2 linked regions of the Drosophila melanogaster genome follow. The protein of the gene in region 1 purifies or fractionates together with the protein of each later gene. This does not show direct contact. Each region holds a gene or a part of one and is shown in the gene's direction. Other genes may lie near its edges.

Region 1 (6,539 bases):
GATCTGTTCCGCCAGGTGCTTGTGGCGCGCTGGAAGGGATTCGCGCCACAGGTGAGTGCGCCACGAGTCCAGCGATGTTTGCGAGTTATCGGGACAGCGGCGGAAGGCCTTTAGAAAGTTTTGGGTGGCCTGTGTTGCGTCATCTTTGCTGAACTGGTATTGGGTCTCCAGAAAATCAGCGAGCTAAGAACGAAATTGGAAAAGGGTTGGCAATTCGCATTATTATTGCGTTACATAAATTCAAAAATATACAAAATTGCGTAGATGTGATAGTGCCGTAAAAACCTCAACCGCGATAAAACTATAAATACGCTATGACGAATTAAAGACGAGATAAGTTAAGAACTTTCACGCAATAAGAAGTGAACAACCTGAAAGTAGAGTTAATATTAATAAAAGCGATTAGAAGCCTCAATACGTGCATAATCTTTTGCGAAACGCGGTAGAACGTAAATCAAAACTATTACGTCCATAAAGTTCTCAATTAAGCGTCAGATTGACCAATCCAATCATTCGATCGAATCCGAAGCCAATTGATTAATTCCAAAATTGTTATAGCATCGCCGTACTATCAGGGGATTGAACATCAAACTGCAATTGCCGCCGGTACACTTGCAGCATGAGTAATATATGAGAATATACTATATTTTATGATCGCAATGATAGCTTGGAAATTTCCACTCGCTATCTATTTTCCGGCCCAACCATCCGCATCTATTGAATCGTACTCAAATCAGGAAGCTAAGCTCACAAAAGTCATTTTGAATGCTAGGAATTTAAGTTGAAATCATTGCGATTAGTCACAAAAACTGTCATGAGTTCCGAAATATAAATGGGCGTGGCTTCGCTCGCTAAGAATTGAAAGCAACTGAATAAAGAAACCGTCTTATTTGGGGTCTTCAAACATTGAGCGTATTGAAACATGAACGTGATAATGAAGTTAACTATCTAAATTGGCGCAGCTTAAAAGATAACGATATAATCTGGAATGCAAGAGTGAGTAAATGTACGTGACATTGAACACATTTTCAAGAATACCTATTTATACCTTTCTCTCTTGAAGGGAAAATTCTAAAAACTTTAACCTTTTAAGATCGCAAATAGACTCATTTATTGTAATAAATAAAGTCAATGGCCTCTGAACGTTCAAACAAGTACATATTGCGAAGTGCTACCTATTATCATCAATTAACCTTTAGCTTCTTTGTGTGCCATTCACTTTATAAGAAGGTTATATTTCAAAAGAAACCATTGACGCGGGTTTCCAAAGTTTGTTGGTATGACGTTTCGTTCAACTTTTGTTAAGTGCAAGTTCCTCGATTTCCGACCTTTTTGCAATCGTTTGCAATCGATAATGCGCACCACGATAAGATCCTGTAAAGTGCCTTTTAACATTTCGAAAACCGAAGATTCCGAATTTCCAACGTAATGCCGATTATTTAGTGGGTTTTAGCCTTCTAAAGTGCATGTACCCGTGGTTATATTTAAGTTAAGACCTTGTCGAGTGCACTCTGAGTTTTTCTTTTTTGTTTTTTTTTTTTTTGTGGCTGGGGGATGTGAAGGGAAGGGAAAGGAAATCAATCGGAACGCAAATAAACAATCGAAATTTCGGGCGCGTGCTATCTGCCGAGCGTCCGGGTTTTTTCGACTACGTAACAACGGGCGGGCTGCAGTGGAAAATTTTCTAGCTGGGTCGCCCGCCTGCTGCGCACTTTCACCTCCCCCGCCCCGCCCCCCCACAAACACTACATGGAAAAGAAACGGAAGAAACGCCAACGGATTGGTGATTGGCAGAGGGGGCAGTGAGGCTGTCTGCCTTGGCTTGGTTAACAAAGCTCACCTTTCTGATCGCCTTGGAATCGCCGGCTCTGGTGGGAATCAACGTGTTGTCCAGGTCAAAGTAAAAGGCCCTGATTTTCGCACATGTCGCATCGAAATGTGAATGTGTGGCTGTCAATTGCTTGCCGCAATGGAATTTGCTAGCTGCCATGAGAGTCGTCGAGCGGAGGGGGGGATGGAGGGTCAGCGAGGGGTCACTGTCAGGAGTGGAGGGGTGGTAGCCGGTTGCTTGGTTAGATGGATGGATGCAAACGTAGAGATCCAAGAACAACTTTGGTGCAATTCAATCCGCCAGCGGATTTGCGCTTTGAAATTGGCGCCAAACGAAACGAAACGAAATGTACGAGCTGCACGACTGCAGCAGCACTGCAGTATTTTTCTATTTTCCTCGAGCGGACTGGCAAAAGTTTCCGCTTCTCGCGCGGCGAAGTTAAAACGGCAACTGAATGACAGCGACAAAAAAAATAATGAAACGGAACGGGAGCGGTCGCAGTAATGTCGAGAGACGGGGTAGCGGGGCGGCGGAACAGGTGAGCGCGTGTGTATGAGTGCTTGTTGACTGAGTGAGAGCGGAGCAGCGAATGAAAAACCGAAAGAAAGTGCGAGGGCGCATGGGAAAACAGTGGTGGCCAAAAGTCTGCGTATGCGAACAGTGCTACCAGGCGGCGGCGCCAATTGATAAAAACTTGATAAGATATTGTTATTCCTTAAGATTTTATATTATTATTAAGATGTTCTTGAATAAGTTTATTTCAATAACTGGTTAGACATCCGTGTTGTGTTGTTCTGGACAACTACTGCGCAGCACATGTGCTTTTTACGGGCACATATTTTTTGGCGCCACTGTGCGAAGTGTGCCAAGTGCCGTTTGCGCGCCAGAGCGAACGAGAGCAGGCGACCTAGCGCAGAGTTGTCTCTATGCGCCGTTAAACGACCGTGAGTGGAAAAGAGAGCACGATAGAGGTCGCGGAGAGGTTCGCGTTTCTCTGCTACGACGCCTGCTCTCCACTCTGAATTTAGTATAAGTCGAGGCACGCTCATTTCCTAATTGTTGTGCCATTTATTTTTAACTTCTATTAATAAAACCAGGAAAAGCAATAACAACAGTTCTTTGTTTACCAAAAATATCAGTTGTTTTATACTTCCTGGTGCTTTCTAGCACTGGCTTGGCGGTAAATCGATAGTATTCGATAGTGATTGTTGAAAGTGGCAACGCTATAGTTTTTGTTTAACGAGGTGGCAAGTGATTAGCCCACGGATTTTTTGGCATCTTTCCGTGTTTATTTTCAATAGTTTTTGGAGTTTTTCAACATTATCCGCGATGAGCAACGCAGAGACAACTACGGATTTGCTTTCTACAGGTGAGTAAATATTTAAATCACATGAAAGGCGCCATAAAACGAGGTTTTCTTGCAGAAACCATTCTAAAAGCGGCGGACGAGGAAGTGGAGAAGGCTTCAGCGTCCAGCAGTAGTACGTTATTGGCCGAAAAGGATGTCCCGGAGGTCAAGGAGCGGCCCATAACGCCGGAAGACGAGCTCATCTCCATGGAAACTCTGCGACCCTCACCTGTCCAATGGCCAGAGCGTTGTAAGTGTAGAAAACGTGAGCACGAAGAAATTGGCGCCATTTTTAACGCATATCTTTATTTTCGATTGCTCCAGTTCCCGGAATGGACGAGTTCCTCTCCATGAGCGACACGCCGATGTACACGCGCAGCACCAACTACACCAGCAATCTGACCGATGATGATATGGTTAAGATTAATGGTAAGTAGCTGCAAAGTCAATGAGATTTAAGAATAGTATATTAAAGAATAGCATATCCATTACCTACTTTTCTATTCCAGAACTAGCCCAGCTCCCTCCCGAGGATCTGATCGATAAAATAAAGTCAATGCATGATGAAATTTACCAGCTGGGACTGCGTGAGGCAATGGAGATGACTCGTGGGAAACTGCTGGGCATCTTTGACCGGGATCGCGCTCCTAAGCGGCAGCCATGAGGCTGGATGATCCGATCCCTAAGAATGGGACTGTCGAGGATCTCGTTGAATTCGCATTAGGAACATAGGTGTAGTTTCATAGTGTACATAGTGCTATTTTTATAGTGAGTAATGCGTGTTGTGAATGATTTATCGCTATTTTACAAAGATAAATAGGCAGGCGTTTGAACAGTAACTAACGTTTATTTCCATTAAAGCATTTTGGGTCCTACACGTCGCTTGTATTACAGATACATTTGAGGAGTCGGAGGAGAGATGAAGTTGACGGATTGGAGGGAAAGGAATGCAGAAGGATCTGGAGTTTTTGGAGAAGGCACAGTAGATTTCGCTATGCAGGGACATTAACGCAACAAATAACTCTGTCTATGTGGGATTGGATGGATCGGTTGCGCTCTAGTGCGTCCTATTAATACTTAACTAAATGCTTTCGTTCGGATTTATGCAGTAGCCTTCCCCACGATCCATCCCAATTTGGGAAAGTGTGTTGGTGCTGATGGTGTGCTTACATGCTGTTTCCCGTGAATATATATCCAGTAACGTGCATCAATTCCCATTACTCCTGCCACTGCATTCCGAATCGCTGCTCAAAGGTGATCCGGTTAAAGACGCCCGCATCGGCCAGCTGCAAGGGATCGGTGTAGTACGCAAAACGCCGTATATCCAGCATGGCCAGGTCGAACATTTGCTTCCAGCTGGTCAAATCTGTAACGCTCATGTGGATCGGCAGCTGGGGATCCGGTATATCGATGGCCGCCTGCAGACGGTCAAACGCCTCGGCAATTGGTCCCACCGATAGATTAACCCAGTACTCCGCTGGAAAGCGCTTGTTCTCACAAAACGGCGCTCCCTTGCGCATGATGAAGACCAGCATGAGTATCTCATAGCGCTCGGAGCTCTCATAGAAGCGCTTGGTTCGGGTCTTCTCCACGAAATCGATGAGAAGGATCAGGGGAGTGTAGTTCTGGAGGTGCATCAACAGCTCCCGGTCGGTCCAAAGGTAACGGCCGCCTTTGACGGTCAGCAGGCTCATGTTGCTGGCGAGTTGTTGATGCTGCTGCTGCTGCTGTTGCTGCTGCAGCTGGTGGTGTTGCTGCTGCTGAAGGTGTTGCTGTTGCTGCTGCTGATGTTGGTGTTGCTGCTGCTGTTGCTGCTGGTGTTGCTGGTGCTGCTGCTGCTGGTGTTGCTGCTGCTGGTGCTGCTGGTGTTGCTGCTGCTGATGCTGCTGGTGAATGCCGCCGGCGGATGGGGCTGGAGTTCCGGTGTTGGATGCCACCTGGCTGGGCATGGCGACCACAATGCCCGTCTGTCTCTGGCAGCCAATCTCCTCCACCATGTGCGCTGCAATGACGACAAAATGCATTTAAGGCAAGTGCCTAAACCAGGCCAAGGTCGCTGCGTTGGCCAAACACCCAGCCACCCCCTGCCCGCCCTCATTATTACTTGTTGCAAATAGCGAGCAGCGAAGAGCGAACGTGCAGCAAGTCAAAGGCTATGGCAATTGCAATTGCAATCAACTTACTGCGTGCCCCAATCAAAGCGGCAGAAATTATGTGTGTATTTATGAGGCGGATGGATCAGCGGGTCTGGATTTGGATCGGGGTACGAATGTGGCCCCCAAGAAGCAGCGGCCTATCTCCTCCGGCAGCTCTGCGTGTTTGCCGTGCGCCCTGGACGATTGTTGCCACGCGAGTGCCTTCCCAAGTCCGAAGTCGGAGCCACTCGGACCCGCATTCTCGTTGCACTCGGGCTCAGTTTTCTCGGTGACTCGGTCGCGCCAGCCGATGGGCATGTGTGGATGTGCATATAGGGACTCGGCCCGTTTGGCAATGAACTTATTGGATGCGTTCTGCGCTGGCTGCGGTTCGCAGATTTGTTACCAAGCGGGCTGCCAACTCTAAAATGTATGCCCCCCAAGCGGTAGATTAAAAAATAAATGTGAAAAACATATATGTAAGCAGTCTACAAAAAAGTAATTTTATGTTTTTAAGACAAGAACTTAAAAGTCTTAGCATTAGTCAATTTCCTATGATATCTTATCTATTTATCATGCTTAAAAATATATAAAATAAACATATATTGTACATATATATATATTATTATACAAATTGAGTTCATATTTAAATACGATATGTAAGATTTGAAGAGTTTTCGAGCACCCTGTTCTATTCGCCTTTGATTTGATTGAAAGCTTATTAAAGCTCATCAGCTTATCAGCAAACGAAATCGAAGTTTGATGCACATAAAAGTGGTATTAAATTTCCAATAAAGGTAGACTGTTGATTTAAGTCAACCTTGAGCGGTAAATAAATAAACAGATTGGGAAAACATAATGCACATAATGCAAACGGTTTTGAGTAACTGCATTTGCATTTAATATGACCCCACATTTTCCCACAAAGCTATAAACAATATCATGATTAACGTATAATTTTTAATAGTAATAAACATCCGTACAGAGAAATTCAAAATGCATGTACAACAATGCATAGCATTGTTAATAATATATATTCTTAGGAGAATTAGACGCGCCCCACTAAATACAATCAGAAAATTACAGCCAATGTCAATAAATTTGAAAAAAAAAAAATAACATATCCTTGGGACGACTAAACTTGAAAACTCTTTTACATAGTCACCTAACCCTTTGTTAAAGATTGCCCACCCTACGATCAAACTCGTCCTTGTGCTCGTTCTTT
Region 2 (7,040 bases), on another chromosome or scaffold:
TACCAAGGTCCTGGCCGACAAGCAGCTGGCCGAGAGCAAGAAGTACAATGAAATCGACAATGCGCCCGAGGAGAAGGCTCGTGGTATTACCATCAATGTAGCCCACGTGGAGTACCAGACGGAGACGCGTCACTACGGCCACACAGATTGTCCGGGACATGCCGATTATATTAAGAACATGATCACCGGCACAGCCCAGATGGATGGCGCCATTCTCGTTGTGGCCGCCACCGATGGCGCCATGCCCCAAACTCGCGAGCATATGCTGCTAGCCAAGCAGATCGGCATTGATCACATCGTGGTGTTCATCAACAAGGTGGACGCCGCCGATGAGGAGATGGTCGACCTGGTGGAGATGGAGATCCGAGAGCTGCTTACCGAGATGGGCTATGATGGTGACAAGATCCCTGTGGTAAAGGGCTCGGCGCTGTGCGCCCTCGAGGACAAGAGTCCCGAGATCGGCAAGGAGGCGATCCTGAAACTGCTCCAGGAGGTGGATAGCTTCATCCCCACGCCTGTGCGCGAGCTGGACAAGCCCTTCCTGCTGCCTGTTGAGAATGTGTATTCGATTCCCGGACGCGGCACCGTCGTCACTGGTCGCCTGGAGCGCGGAGTGGTCAAGAAGGGCATGGAGTGCGAGTTCGTGGGCTATAACAAGGTGCTGAAGTCGACGGTGACGGGCGTGGAGATGTTCCACCAGATTCTGGAGGAGGCGCAAGCCGGTGATCAGCTGGGAGCTCTGGTGCGCGGCGTTAAGCGAGATGACATCAAGCGCGGCATGGTCATGTGCAAGCCGGGCAGTGTGAAGGCACTCGATCAGCTGGAGGCCCAGGTGTACATCCTGTCCAAGGATGAAGGCGGTCGCACAAAGCCCTTCATGTCCTTCATCCAACTGCAGATGTTCTCCCGCACCTGGGACTGTGCCGTGCAGGTGCAGATTCCCGATAAGGAGATGGTCATGCCCGGCGAAGACACCAAGCTCATTCTGCGCCTCATCCGGCCAATGGTCCTGGAGCAGGGACAACGCTTCACGCTGCGTGACGGAAACCTGACCCTGGGCACTGGTGTCGTCACCAGCACTCTGCCCCCATTGACTGAATCGCAGCGATCCGAGTTGACGGAGGGCAAGAAGGCGCGCGAGAAGAAGGTGGCGGCTAAGAAGTAGATCCCCGGAACGCCGTCAGTCATTAACTAAAATCATATTCTTAAGCGATTTTTATGCATATTGTATAAGTTGTTGGCGCTCCAATCACAATCGAGTAAAATATAAACAAACACCTATGGACAACGAAGTTTTAAAACTTGGAATATTAGTAGGGATCTTAAAATTGATTTAAAATAGTACGGCTTTTAAGTATTACTGTTGTTGCCTGACATTTCGGCATTTCAAAGGACTATTTGTTATATAAAGTTATGTAAGTAAGCATTGATCATTGATAAAGGGCAATATTTAATTTAGGCGCCACTCATCGATTGCTTATCGCTCTATGTTAACGGCATCCGAAATAGAGTGGTATCGAAATGGAGCCGATAAAATCAAACAAGGCCGATAATAACCTGACTACGACATTTTACAACACTGCTGCAACCGCCTTGAACGCAGCTGATGATAAAGAACATTTTGAAATTGATTTGAAAATTGGCAAAAATGAGTACCTACCGCGTAGACTACTTGACCGGTAGATTCAAGCACCGTAAACGTTTGTTTGCAAAGTAATTAATAACTTATTTTGTCCGCAGATTCCCTAGACGACACGGAACCATTGCCGGAGCTGAGTTTTGAAGACTTTTTGGAGCCAACGTCGGAGAAGAGTTCCCAGCACATGGAAATCGAAGCTCTGGACTCAGAGGAAGACAATATCGGCGGTGAAGATCTGGCCGATCCGGCCAACGATTCCCTGAACACGCCGCAGTTTAAGAAGAACGTGGTCCACATACTGGAGGACAAGAGGTTAAACTCGTCCGGACTAACCGTTTTGAAGTCGCACGCCATTAAGATGGTGACTGCCGGAGGTACTCCTCCGGCCAAGGCGCAAGTTACAGACGTAAAGATACTAAACAAATTGAAACCAATACCCAGCAGTACGCTAAAGATCGGTAGCACGACCATAGCGACCAAATCCACACCGGGCAGCATAACCAAGACTTTGGGCAACTTGACCCAGATTAGGACGAAAGATGGCCAAGTCATCTTTGTCCAGAAGTCTGTTCCTGGAACACAAAGCAGCACTGCGGTGACAGGGTCACCAAGCGGTGGAATAAGACGCCTCGTGGCGCCTTCTGGTATCCAGAAGGCAGTGCTTTCTAAGGGCGTGACCATGGCAAGCACGGGTCTGGTCAAGGCGGCTGTTCCTGCCAAAGCAAGCACCTCGGTACCCGGCTCAGCCATAACCTTAAAGGGCATCCAACCGCTGGCCGGAGGCACTGCGAAGGCGTCGACTTCCAGCACGACGGCAACCACATCCCCATCTTTGGCACAGCCCAACAAAATTCAGGTGGTGCGCACTGCCGATGGCAAAATTATCAAGATCAATCAGGCTGGTCCCTCACTGCTGGTGAACGCCAAACAGGGAACTGGGACCACAGTCACACCAGGAGGTTCTGCCGCCACTTCTGTCAAACTATCTCCCTCCACGGGAAATGTGGTGCTCAACAAGCCCGTTGGCCAGGTAGTGGTGAGAACAGAAACTCCTGTAAAAACGGCGACGGGCTCCGTTGCCAGTGCATCCGCAACACCGGGCAAGATGTTGGTTCAAAGTGGCGGCAAACAGATTCTTGTATCCAACAAGAACATCATTAAGCTGTCGCCGAATGCGAGTGCCACCAGTTCGACAACCCACACGACGGGCGGACAGACACCTTCCACCTCGAGCGGATTGCACGCTATTCAGCTGCCTGGCAAGGGAGGAATACAATATGTACGTGTCCTGAACAACAATAAGAGTGCCGCCGGAACAAGTGCAACAGCCTCAATCCCGAAAACAGTGCAAACTCAGAAGATCACTGTGGTGCGGCCACCGGCTGCTACTGGTGTTCCTGCCACATCTACTACAACATCCGCAGCAGCAGCTTCACCTGCAGCCGCATCGAAGGCAAACCTTGCCATGGGCAACACTAACAAGATTGTAATGCGATCAATGGGTGGCAGCATTGTGCCGCTGCCTTCCGTGCAGACGTTGGTCTCAAAGGTTGGTACTTGTGTTGGTACAAATTTATTTCATTCTAACTCAATTTCCATCTTTAAAGCGTGCGCTGGGCGCCATCTCCAACGCTTCAAAACCAGCCAGTGCGGCGAGCAGCAGCGCCACGCCGAGTGCCAGCCAGGAGTTGCCACGCAAACACCGTCTTACTGATCTCAATGTGCAGCTAAAGCAATCGGCCTCGGTCAGCAGTGAAGCTAGCGACAGCAGCGATGCGGGTCCTGAGGCCAAAAAGCCGCGTTACGTTATTACCATGCAGCAAGGATCACAGAAGGCAGCTTCCCAGCCAGTTCAGAAACTAATTAATCGGACAGCGAATGTACAGCGTGTGGTGTCTAGCAGTACAAGTCCCAGTTCCAACTCCACAAAGAAAATCTACAACTATGTTCAACCGACTGGAAGCAATGGGGCCAAGTACATGATCTGTAACTCGGGTGTGCCCCAATCATCGACGAGTGCCATGCGACGGGGATACACTGGATATGTGGAAAACAAGACGCGACGCCCGCCACCCATTTCCCCGCAACAGCACCGCTTTAAGCAGATGGGTCCCCAGCAGCAGTCCAAGCACCAGCAACTTCAAGCGCAGGCCAAGCAACGGATTAGACAGCAGCAACTGCCTACCGAACAATCGACGCCGATCAAGGTCGAGCCAAAGTTGCCGACACTGCCTCCGGGGGTGAAGGCCAATGTACCTGCCAAGCCGCTCTTTGAAGTCCTAAAACCTCCAGCAACCGCGGCAGCAGCCGGAGCCGTCGATCCATTGGGCGGCATGACTTCGCGGCGAAAGCACTGCAACTGCAGCAAGTCGCAGTGTCTAAAGCTTTACTGCGATTGCTTTGCAAACGGCGAGTTTTGTCAGGACTGCACCTGCAAGGATTGCTTTAACAATCTGGACTACGAAGTGGAGCGGGAGCGTGCTATTCGCAGCTGCCTCGATCGTAACCCCAGCGCCTTTAAGTAAGTTTATTTGAAAGGAAAAGCTTATGAGGTCTATCCTATGTTTCTAAAGATGCTAATCACAACTACTTTTTTTTTTTTTAAACAGACCCAAAATTACGGCACCCAATTCAGGTGATATGCGTCTGCATAACAAAGGTTGCAACTGCAAAAGATCGGGCTGCCTCAAGAACTATTGTGAGTGCTATGAGGCAAAGATTCCCTGCTCCAGCATATGTAAATGCGTTGGTAAGTGAACTGATAAATCTGTTTTATCTATGATCAAACTAACTGAATCAATCAACTTATTATTTAGGGTGTCGAAACATGGAAGACCGTCCGGACGTGGACATGGACTCTCTGGACGGATTGATGGGTGTCGAGGGTCAGAAAAAGGACAAAGCTAAAAACAAGCAATTGAACGAGAATCGCGCAAATATATATTTTACGGACGATGTCATTGAGGCGACCATCATGTGCATGATATCGCGGATTGTGATGCACGAGAAACAGAATGTGGCCGTGGAGGACATGGAGCGCGAGGTTATGGAGGAAATGGGCGAAAGTCTGACACAGATCATCGCTTTTGCCAAGGAAAAGCAAGAAACCTCTCAGATAGACGAGTCCAAGCCTTCTTCTTAGGCATGCAAATATAGTCACACATTAATTAGTTTATAAGTTCAAAGAGTTCTTGACCTTTTCTCAATCATATTCTAATTTTGGCTTTCTAAAAGTTGACCTTAAAGTAAAGTGTTTACCCTATTTAAATAATTTAAACACAAAATGTATATATCATACATAGCAAATTTCAGATATAAGGCTATTTTAATTTTTGGCCGAGCATTGTAATTGTGTTGTAAACTTTTCCCTTGGATTGAATGTAAATAATTTAGATACCTAATAAAGTTTAATGACCATTGAACACAAATGAAAAGAGACGTTGTGTTGTTTTGTAGCTTGTTTATTCACCAACAACTTCAGTTACATATTTGTATTTTGCATTTGCATTGTTTCAAATTTATTGATGGGCGAGTATATTAAACTCAACGCAATTTAGTTTGGTTTTTCACAATATCGGTATCAGCTTAGTTAGCAATATCTCTATAAAATAAACACATGTCGAATGACTACAGTATAGGTAATGCATATATTAGTTGATTGTATTGATAGTAGGTATTTAGTTTTGTATATATGTAGTTTTTTTTGTTTAAGTATAGTTATATATTCTACTTGGTCACCATTGGTATGTATAAATAGCATATAAGTATGTTTGTGTTCTGGTTTCTCCCGGTTCTCACCCTATAAACATGGCATGGCATGACATGAGTACATATGTGTGTATGTATGTAGTTTCAAGGTTTGAGTAAAAATGTGATAATCGTTTAAGGACTATAGTACATATACGTGGTTAGTAATGCTAATATATATATATATATATATGCCCTGTTATACATATTTTTCATACACTGTTTTGACTAATATGCTCGCGCTAAACTATACGTTTTATTTGCGGTCATTCGAATACGAACTTTTTCGAAGAGAGAGTATGTGTGTGCGATTATCTTAAATAGCAAATACATACAGTAAACGTTGAGTATATCGATTTAAGGATAGTTTTGAATATTTGAATACTGTGCACAAAACGCTTTGGTTAGTTGCATTAGCATTGTTTGTTTGTTTGACCCCATACCAGCTTTTTTTTCTTGTGAATTGTTAGTTACGTAACACTTATGCAACATTTGAACATAGTTAGGCAACAATAACGATTTGATTACGCATAATATATATGTATTTGTATTGAGAGTATGCTGAACTATTCAGTTAGAAGCTATATTGTCTAATTCACACGTTTATATTGAATGCTGGGCCCCCAGAAGGGGAGCTAAAGCATAAACTTACACAACAACTTTATGAAAACCGAACAAAACCATTTGCTAAATATCGTATATGTACGTTGGATTTGCATACCCTGTACAATGTCTTTTTCTTAGGTTGTCGTAATATTGTATATGCAATCATTGAAGAGTACCTTAATTGTTAAACGCGTGTTGCATGATTGAATTCGGCAATTCTTCAAAGCGTGAAAAGTCATAACGAACACAGCGTAGAATTTATGGATATTAGTTGAGTAATTCATCTTTCACAACAATAGAACAACGATGATAATCAGCAAGTATTTCAGCTATTCGTATATACAGTTTGTCAATATAACCTCATTGTATACCTGCGATTAACTACATTTTGTCGGCTTTCTTTAAACTTTTTCGACCATTACAGAGCTATAGTTTACTTTACACTACTTTCGATTAGAATTGCTGGGACTATATGCGTTCAAAATAATGATTTTCATTGCCCAAATGAAGAGGAGCATTAGTTTTAAAGAGGATTTTACGTGGTGATCACAACGCTTAAGGACACTTGCAGCCATTCAAGTGCCTTGCGGCAATATCCTTACGATCCAATACGATCTGGTTAAGTGACGAAATAATGTCGGTAATATTTATGGGCTAAGATCCGAAACTTTGGGTGGGAAGAATTGAAGTTATAATCAGTGGGTACTAGTCTAAATTTTGTAGAACACCCAATTTAGCGACTTTATTCCTCACTAGATAATTGCAAACTAAAATACAACTTAAGACTTCTATTCAAAATTGTGAACGCTTATAGACCCTGTATATATTTTTAGATTCTATGGAATGGTGTTTATATTCCACGTACCATTTGGCACCAAAAGCCTATCAAATATTCCCTTTTTTTGTCAGATAACTTGTGTGTGTGCTAATGTGGGCAACAATTTTACAAGATTCAATGATTATATATATATATACTTTATTTAACTTTAACAACTTGAAATATGAAATTGATTTACTTAAGGAAGGTGGGCTTCCGTTGTGGAGTAGT

Evidence for each region.
Region 2: the proteins of lin-52 (region 1) and mip120 purify together in Drosophila melanogaster (affinity purification with western blotting; 2 studies listed by BioGRID, with this or other methods). This does not show direct contact.

What each region holds. Positions count from the first base shown.
Region 1 is NC_004354.4:5,751,506-5,758,044, reverse strand, and holds lin-52 (lin-52), read left to right. Parts: upstream 1-3,086; 5' UTR 3,087-3,160; coding exon 3,161-3,200; intron 3,201-3,255; coding exon 3,256-3,429; intron 3,430-3,503; coding exon 3,504-3,608; intron 3,609-3,688; coding exon 3,689-3,843; 3' UTR 3,844-4,396; downstream 4,397-6,539. Other genes in the region: CG15771 (uncharacterized protein), read right to left, coding at 1-183, 1,841-1,990; CG15772 (uncharacterized protein), read right to left, coding at 4,397-5,176; Rtel1 (regulator of telomere elongation helicase 1), read right to left, coding at 6,491-6,539.
Region 2 is NT_033778.4:13,508,049-13,515,088, forward strand, and holds mip120 (Myb-interacting protein 120), read left to right. Parts: upstream 1-1,569; 5' UTR 1,570-1,648; coding exon 1,649-1,679; intron 1,680-1,740; coding exon 1,741-3,188; intron 3,189-3,246; coding exon 3,247-4,160; intron 4,161-4,248; coding exon 4,249-4,388; intron 4,389-4,455; coding exon 4,456-4,781; 3' UTR 4,782-5,064; downstream 5,065-7,040. Other genes in the region: mEFTu1 (mitochondrial translation elongation factor Tu 1), read left to right, coding at 1-1,165. UniProt on the Drosophila melanogaster protein: Component of the DREAM complex, a multiprotein complex that can both act as a transcription activator or repressor depending on the context. In follicle cells, the complex plays a central role in the site-specific DNA replication at the chorion loci.